2 linked regions of the Arabidopsis thaliana genome follow. The protein of the gene in region 2 interacts with the protein of the main gene of each other region in a biochemical or structural test. Each region holds a gene or a part of one and is shown on either strand. Other genes may lie near its edges.

Region 1 (3,403 bases), 1.1 Mb from region 2:
GTTTGTTTGTTAGGACTAATTCCTTTAAAACCGTGGAGGCCTCGTTGAGAATTGATGCAGTAGCTAGTGCTGGTTTCAAGATTTCGCGGTCAAAGCTAGTTGATTTGATTAGGTAAACAAAAAGCTTTATTTTTCCATTTGATCTTTCATTGCATTCTCATATTTGCTAAAGAAAATTCTTCTTTGTATGCAGTAGCAAGGATGTTCGGGTTAACTGGGCAACCGTTACAAAGAACGGAACCATAGTGAAGACTGGTGATGTTGTCTCCGTTAGCGGGAAAGGGAGACTCAAGGTAAGAAAGATTGTTGGAAAGTGAGTTTAGTTACTGATTAGTTTCAATAACATTAACCTTTTTGTGTTCAATCACAGATTGGAGAGATCAATGAAACGAAGAAAGGTAAATTTGCAGTTGAAATCATCAGATATCTTTAGAAAGAAGCTGTAAACAAATTATCAATCATTCTTTTTCTTCTCTTCTCATAGTTTTTTATTTTTTTTGGACTAGTTCTAATTAATCTCTATTAATGTAAAAGAACCGACGAAAAAATCTACAAAGTTATAACAATTTATTTATTTATTTCTATTAAATAATCATGTATGTGTTTACATATGTATACTCTCACTCACAAAATCATTACATTACATGCGTATGCATGAAGATTTTGTATACGTGAAATCCTTACGTATGCTAATAACAGTTTCTTCAAAAAAAACCAAAAATATAACAACTCAAAATTACGATATAACACTTTTTTCATTTTTTTCTATAAAAATCAAGCATACCCACAATACCCGTACTCGCATTTAACCCCGGACGCACATTTCCTAGTGCATTTCCCACAATGGTTAGGGTTAAAGTTAACGTAAGTGCAAACGCCACCGCAACAACGTTGCCCGAAACCGCATTTGTGACCGCATCGACCACAATTGTTCCTATCTCCTAGCACATTCCGACAATGCTTCTTGCAGCAATGCAAGAGGCTCGTCCCTTTATTCGCTTTTACGCCATTGCAAATGTTGTAACTCTCGACGTGACATCTCATTCCTTTCTTGATCTTCTTGTAGTGGGAAACTAGTAGCCTAGTTTTGGATGAAATTGTCACGTTTGAAAGTATCGAGGGAGTTTCGTCGAGAATGTAGTACTCCGGGTCATCTTCTTGGTCGACAACTTCATCGGCTAAAACCGAGTTAGACTTAGATGTTGCTATTATTAGGAAATAGAGGATCAATGAGAGAAGTGAAGTGGCTTTAATGAAAGTATTAGGGATCTTAATGACCATTTTGTTTTAAGTAAAAAGTAACCAAAGAGAGTTTGGCTTTGGAGCTGAGAAGAAGCAAGGAAAAGAAAGAGTGGGACTTAAGTGAAGATCTGTGTTCTTGCGATTGAAGAGGTATTTTAAGGCAGCAAAAACATTATTGAAACTTCGAATTTATTTTATTTTTAAAAGAAATTGTCTTTTTGCAGGCAATTGCTTAAATGAATTGACTTTTCCTCAAATCTAGGCTACCACAAGTGATTGTTGTCTAGATTACGTCATACAATTTTGTATCTGATTGGCGAAAAAGGTTTTCAATGGTATGGTAAAACAGTTCTTTGAATCTTTCGTTATGGTTAAAAGACAAATTAATTTGACAAATAGATATGAAGGATTTTAGTAATTAAGTATCATATAAAATAATAAGATCGACTGTGAAAATATTTCTGAAATACCTTACATAACTATAACATAAAAACAGAAAAGTAAACAACTTAAACTAAGTGAATGGCCTAAAAACCTAGAAAATAGCATGTCGATCTAAACATATAGGTACTATGAACAATACGGTCCATTTGCTTTTTCTCATCTACTATTAGTTTTCATATAATTTGAAAATCTTATGTTACTTTTTGTAGAGAGTATATATGGAGTTGAAGTCTATATAGTAGTCAGCAATGAGTAAAATCGTAAAGGAAAAATTCGAACATTAATAAATTTCGGTTCACAAACAAAAAAATACTTGAGTATTGTACCATTATTATCTTTACTAACGTATTTTTACTTTCTGTCACTTTAGCTTTTCTATGACTTTGTTGATTGCTACTTTTTTTTTCAGAAACATCAGCATTACCGTCAAGACACAAAACTACCAATCCATTTCCTTTGCTTCTGTTACATACGATTTATGTATAACTGTCAAGAACGTGAATGCATTTTTCAATACATATCATAATTGAATCAATATTATTGATGATAAAAGGTTACATTTGTTCTGTTGTATTATAATACCTTTATTATGTAAATTTGAAACTTGTTTGATCTCGAGTATGAATTAGATTCGTGACTTCGTGTACGAAAACAATAAGAAAAGAGAGTCAAACTAATTAATTTAGGCTAAAAACCATAATGGAACAAACAACACACATGACTGAAACAAAACAGCACAAGTGCTCTTTGAAATCATCAAAGTGCATGTACATGAGTTGTCTCTTAAAACAAAAGTTTTATTCAAACGTTGCACGTGTGGTGACGGTGGAACTAGATCCTTCTTTGTTGCCATTAAAGCCGGTAAGATTCACACACCGGTTACGCTTACTACGCAACGGAACCTGGCGACTGTAATGTGCTCTCTCTACCTCTACGTGTCATTATCAAATGTTCATGACAGTCGTTTCATCACCTTCTAAGTTGATTAACTTACTCGGACCGTGAAGTCCATAACGTTGAGCCGTTGACCATTAACCCTTTTTTACTAGCTCGTTGACCTAAACAACAACAGAAAAGTTGGAGGAAATAATGATACTATAATCTTATAAATATACAACTTATATTGAAATATGTGAGAAATAATGATCATGTATTGTTCATTAATTATATATTCTGATCATTGATTCTAAATTCTATGCCGCACATGACATGCAAAGGCTATGTAAGCTATGAAGCCTATACGTGTTGACAAAAATATAAAATACGCATTAGCATAAAAACAAAAATCAAATAATAGAAAACTTATGTGAAAAAATTAATGAAAAATATTTTACACTACTAATCGAATTGGTTTAGTTACCGAAGCCGCGTTTTAGCCGAAGGCGAAGCCAGAGATCGAATCTCATAGATGTGCGACTCCACGGCCGTCGTCTAGCTTTCTTGAACACTAATCTCATAATTGTAATTATATATATATATATTTATATATATATATATCACTACAAGAAAAAGGTTGTCTTGGTTGTAAATCCTCTCATAATTTTTTTTATTAAAGTCTAATTTTTAGGATTTATGACTTTTTTTAATTTTGCAGTTTAAACTTCAAGTTTTAGAATTGAGAGTTTATATCTTTACAAGTTTAGAGTTTAATAAATTTGTTTTAGGGTTTATAATTAATGATAATTATTTAATGGTTTAGTTTATAAACTTTTTTTTT
Region 2 (5,207 bases):
GGGTAACGGATAATTTCCGGACCAATCGGATATCCACGGGTTTATTAAAAGTCTACCCAATAAGGAAATTTCCTAAAATTTTAACCCGCCCTAACCCAGTTTTTTGGTTCGGGTATTAGGTTGGTTATCGGGTCCGTTTTTTCGTCAGCCCTATCAAAGATAATCTAATATAGGCCCCAATTAGGTCTACAAATGTAACCAAAATACTATACAAAGACTAATTCTAAGTTAGGCCAAAAATTAGATCCTCTAATACAAAAGAAAAATGTTTCTTACCAAAACAATTATATACAAATTTTACACATTTACTTAAAACTACATATGTTGTATTTATTATAAAAATAACATTTTTAAACAAAGTCAATCTAATGAAGCATTATATGCAAATAGTAAAAATATTAAAAAATATTATGACATCATTTTTATACTATAATATTTTTTATGTAATTCAAACAAAATATACAATTTAATTTATACAAAATATTAATGCTGATCTAGTGAACGCATATATAAAGCAAAAATGAAATGTTAAGGCCAAAATACAGCTGACGATGATAATATATATATATATATATATATATATATATATATATATATATATATATATATATAAATGTTAGAAAAAAATAATCTACACTTATAACACGACGAGAATGGTATATAAAATTGAAAAGGCAAAAAAAAATAAAACACAAATCATTTGTTGGATTCAAGACCTAAAGCTGATGATGATGGTAATATACATTAATACAGATACATAATATATTTACATGTTTTAGTCCATTACATTCTCATACATTTTTTATCTGCATTAACCTTAAAAAGAAGAAAAACCAAGCACATGTTCTTCATTCTTCCCTCCGGCTCCGGTGAAGCTACTTCCGCCGGAATAACCACCTTTTTTTGAAACTTTTTCAATATTCCTAAAAGCAACCGAAAATCTGAAACTCATCGATTCATCGAGAAACCAAAGTCATCATCGTCTAACAACATGGAAGAATACACATTATTATGAGTCCCTCGATGATCCATAGAACCAAAATCATCTTCAGATTCTCCTTCTCTCAACATCTCAACCATCTCCACAACTTCTCTCATATCCATCCTCCTCTCTTCTTCTTCTTCGCAACATCTCAAACCAATTTTCAACAAATTAATCATTTCCGCTTTACAATTCTTCTTCCCTTTCATTTCCTTGTCGAACACGTCACCTGTTTTCTTCTCCTTAACCATATCGTTAACCCAAGTCACAAGACTCATGTTAGAATCATAACCTTGCGTTAAGTAATTTTCAGGGAATCTTCCTGTCAAAACTTCCAAGATCAACACACCAAAACACCAAACATCTGTCTTCTTCGTTATGATTTGTCCTTTCGAAGGTCTATACTCTGGCGATTTGTAAGCTGTCATGAAGTTATGTGCGTGCTCTGAGCTCATCATAGGTCTTAGAGCGTAATCTGTTAACAATGGCTCGAATGAATCGTCTAAAACAATATTCGATGACTTCATATGACCATGAGGGATTGTTAGTGTTGGAAGCTCGTCAAACAAGTAAGATAAACCCTTTGCTACTCCTTTTATGATCTTTAAACGTGTTATCCAATCCAATCCAGCGGAATTATTCGCTGCGAACGTATAATTCAAATAGTTAGTATTCACAAAAAGTTTTATAAAATGTCAAATTATTAACAATTCTTATTCAAACATACCATGAAGATGGCTTGCCAAGCTACTGTTGGGCATAAATTCAGTGACTAGAAGCTTCTCCTCTCTACGGTAATAGTAAGCAACGAGAGGCAATATATTTGGATGGTTTAATCTCCCTAACCGTCTCATATGCTCATGAAACTCATCTCTTCCGACATTGTTCATATGTTTATACCTCTTCACAACCAATGTTTGTCCACTAGATATCGCTGCTTTGTATGAAGCACCAAATGTTCCGCTACCAAGAACTTCAGCTGAAGCTCTCAAAAGATCTTGAAGATCGAATCTTTGAATATCGTCCCTCACGAATAGAAGCCTTCCTCCTGGATCAGGCATCGATCCTCTCCTTGTGTGATTTACGGATTCTGCGGGTTTATTGTTCTTGTTTGTGGATTGATGATAATTATAGCTCTCTATCCTTTCTTTTCCCGCAGAAGAAGGATAAGCTGACAAGAAATTACGTCTTCTTGATTGAACGAAACAGAACACAAGCGCGATGATCACTAGTATTATGCCAATAACAATCAAAATGATTGCTAGAGTGTAAAAAGATCCGGCCTTTTTCCCCGTGGGAGGAGAAGTAGATTTTGGATCAACGGGAGATACCGGAACAACAGGAACCCCCGGAGAGGAAGAGGAACATGGACTTAAGGGAGCATCACACAAACCTTTGTTACCTACAATTTACAAAACATAGAATATTCATGTCATCAAAAATGCATCAAACTCTTGAAAGGTTTATGCAAAATTTATATGAAAATAATGAATTCTCTAGTTGCACACCTAAAAAGGATGTCATGTTGACATTTGATTCTAAAAGCATTATATGACAATATTAATATGTAGAACATTTTTATTGTTACCTGCAAAAGAGCCTGGATCCATGTTTCGAAGACTTTCAGGTATCGGTCCATCGAGATCATTGTTTTCAAAGCTAGCTAATTTAAGATCCTTCTGTTGAAAAGATGGTATTTGCCCTTGAAATTGATTACCATTTAGCCTCAACTCTAAAAGCATTGGCAAAGAGGCTAGAGAAGAAGGAATTGTTCCTCGGAATGCGTTATTAGCCAGCAAAATTTTCTTCAAAAGTGGCATACCTAGAAATGCATCTGCGGGTATCTCCCCCGAAAACCGGTTATTAGACAAATACAAAGATTTCAGCGAAGTAAACCTCTTAACTTGAGGCATTGGGCCATTGAAGTTATTGTTCATGAAGCTTATGGTTCGCAGATTCTTCATTGGAACCAATGGGTCGAGGTTTAGTTTCCCGGTCAAACCCATTCCCTCAAGTTGTAATCCCCAAACGTAATTGCTACAAAGAACACCAAACCAATTTGCTGTATTTCCTTGACATGGTGATGATAATGGATCCCAACTACGAAATTCTGAACCATTTGCTAATGTATCTTTGAATCGCAAGAGACAATCTGCATCTGAATCCGGCACAACCACCTGAGACATTGCCACCGGACATAACACGCTGATAAAGATGATGATGAAAATGCAAGAAGGTAGATTCTTCTTCAAGGCCGTGTTACACGCAAGCGTAAACGGGTCCTCCCAATTGCGCATTGCGGTTACACGCGCAATGGAATCGATTTGATTGATGTGAAATCTCTTGTTTTCTTCTTTTTCTTTTTTGTCTTTCGTGATCGCCAAGAAATTGTGTGAACGGAAGAGAGAAAAACAAAACCTACCAAGAATAGACAAAGCAAAGTATTTAAATTTGCAAAATTGTGATTATTTTTTTTTGGATTTGTGGCATCTTAAGATTATTATTAGGTGAGAGAGTTCTTTGGATAACCATTCAATTATCTTGTTTTAACTTTTTAAGTTATATATACATGTAATCGTTGTTGTACTGATTTGTCATTTGCTTTAGTTCCAACCAAATTTATTTTTCTCTCTATATGAGAATTATTTTGGTATAACTGATTTTAAGAATCAGGCATAACTGGTGGATTGTTCTATATGATGATGATAATATCTGAACCAATTAAACAAGTAATGTGATATAACTCGGTAGAGTTTTAGAGATTTCTGTTTTATCACCAGTTACCCGTTAAAAACAAACAAACAACATGTTTTATAAATTAATCGACAAATATGGTCAGTCAAACTAGGAGTAAAACTTAGTAGTCTCTTAATTTTCTTTTCAAAATTCTAGTAATGAAATTATAAAGGATGACTTTGTTATTCCTAAATTATGTGACTGCGCACGATTAAGAGTTGTTATTTTCGGACAGTGTTACTCGAGGAAAGACATAAAAAAGACAAAAGACATAAACAATGATAAAATTAAACTTTATGGGGAGAAAATCAAATGTAAAAAAATGAAGAAAAAGAAAATGGAAGGTCAAAAAGTTGAATGCTGAAATTGTTCTTCTGAAAGAACGCGGAATTGGGTTAAAGAGCTTTAAAGTGTTGGTGGGCCGACACGATTGGTCGGCATGAAATCTTAAGGTGTGAACCTTTCAAGTACACATTTCTGCTGCTTATGCAGTGTCCATACTCCAATTTCGGTTCGTACTGGAAAACATACTAAAGTGGATGTATATTTGATAACAGTTTTTGTTTTTGTTTTTGAATACTAGTATTATATAAAAGAGATTTTTCCTAGTCTACTAATGTTTCAATCCAATCCATTGTAGTTATCAAACTAGTTATTTATGGGTATTCAAAGCTGATAATATGGTACTGCGGGGTAGTAGTATAATACTAAATAATTACTTACGAAATTAATAATGAAATGAGTAATTATAGAATGAATGCATATAATTAAGTGTTTTTTTTTCACAAAAGAAAGACGCCTGAATTTAATAATAAAGTGTATTAAATATTAATTCACATTTGTCGTAAATACGTGGATTGTAAAAGTGTATCAATCGTATGTATGTACCACTGGTTAAACAAATGTATGATGCATCAATAGTCAAACTAAAAAACTCGCTGATCTTTGAACACGAAGTTGAAAAAAAAGTCGAAAAAATCTCACTGATGTATGTAAAAAGAAAATATGTTGGTAAATAAAAGAAAAAATGGGAGGATAAAAAGGCAGGGAATAATCACAAACTTTTAGGCCTAAAAATGATAAGTGTTGGACCAACCCATGGCTTGCACGTTTGGTCTCATCTCGTTACTTTTGTTTTCGATCTCATCGATGTCTGCGTCTGTGCGGACCATTTTACCCTTGCCTTTTATTACTTCACTAAAAGATGAACACACGAATTATTTAGACATGCGGCACACAATTTTATTACGGTTAAGTTTACAGTTTTAAGGCGAAAATATATCGTTATGCTTTATGCTACATTAATTATGTATAGTAGTACTCCCTACCCAAAACAAAGTTACGTATAGTACTTTGATTGGCCATCGAGGACTCAAGGTTTACTAAATAGAAAGTAAAACAAAGAGATGTTTATTGCATTCGTCGTCCACACATAGAATAATCAATCATCATCATGATTTGTTTTACATTCTTAAGTTCTCGTAATTAT

What was found.
Region 1: the proteins of PRK5 (region 2) and GRI form a complex in vitro, tested with the Arabidopsis thaliana proteins (one study listed by BioGRID).

The regions. Positions count from the first base shown.
Region 1 is NC_003070.9:19,794,173-19,797,575, forward strand, and holds GRI (Stigma-specific Stig1 family protein), read right to left. Parts: upstream 1,373-3,403; 5' UTR 1,282-1,372; coding exon 775-1,281; 3' UTR 551-774; downstream 1-550. Other genes in the region: AT1G53120 (RNA-binding S4 domain-containing protein), read left to right, coding at 14-112, 194-293, 371-433. UniProt on the Arabidopsis thaliana protein: Involved in the regulation of cell death induced by extracellular reactive oxygen species. Only the processed peptide, and not the full length GRI can bind in vivo to the extracellular domain of the receptor PRK5.
Region 2 is NC_003070.9:18,740,243-18,745,449, reverse strand, and holds PRK5 (Leucine-rich repeat protein kinase family protein), read right to left. Parts: upstream 3,424-5,207; 5' UTR 3,280-3,423; coding exon 2,571-3,279; intron 2,385-2,570; coding exon 1,710-2,384; intron 1,626-1,709; coding exon 949-1,625; 3' UTR 645-948; downstream 1-644. UniProt on the Arabidopsis thaliana protein: Receptor-like kinase involved in the control of pollen germination and pollen tube polar growth. The extracellular domain serves as a sensor for peptides derived from GRI. May act as a downstream element for ROS-dependent cell death induced by GRI.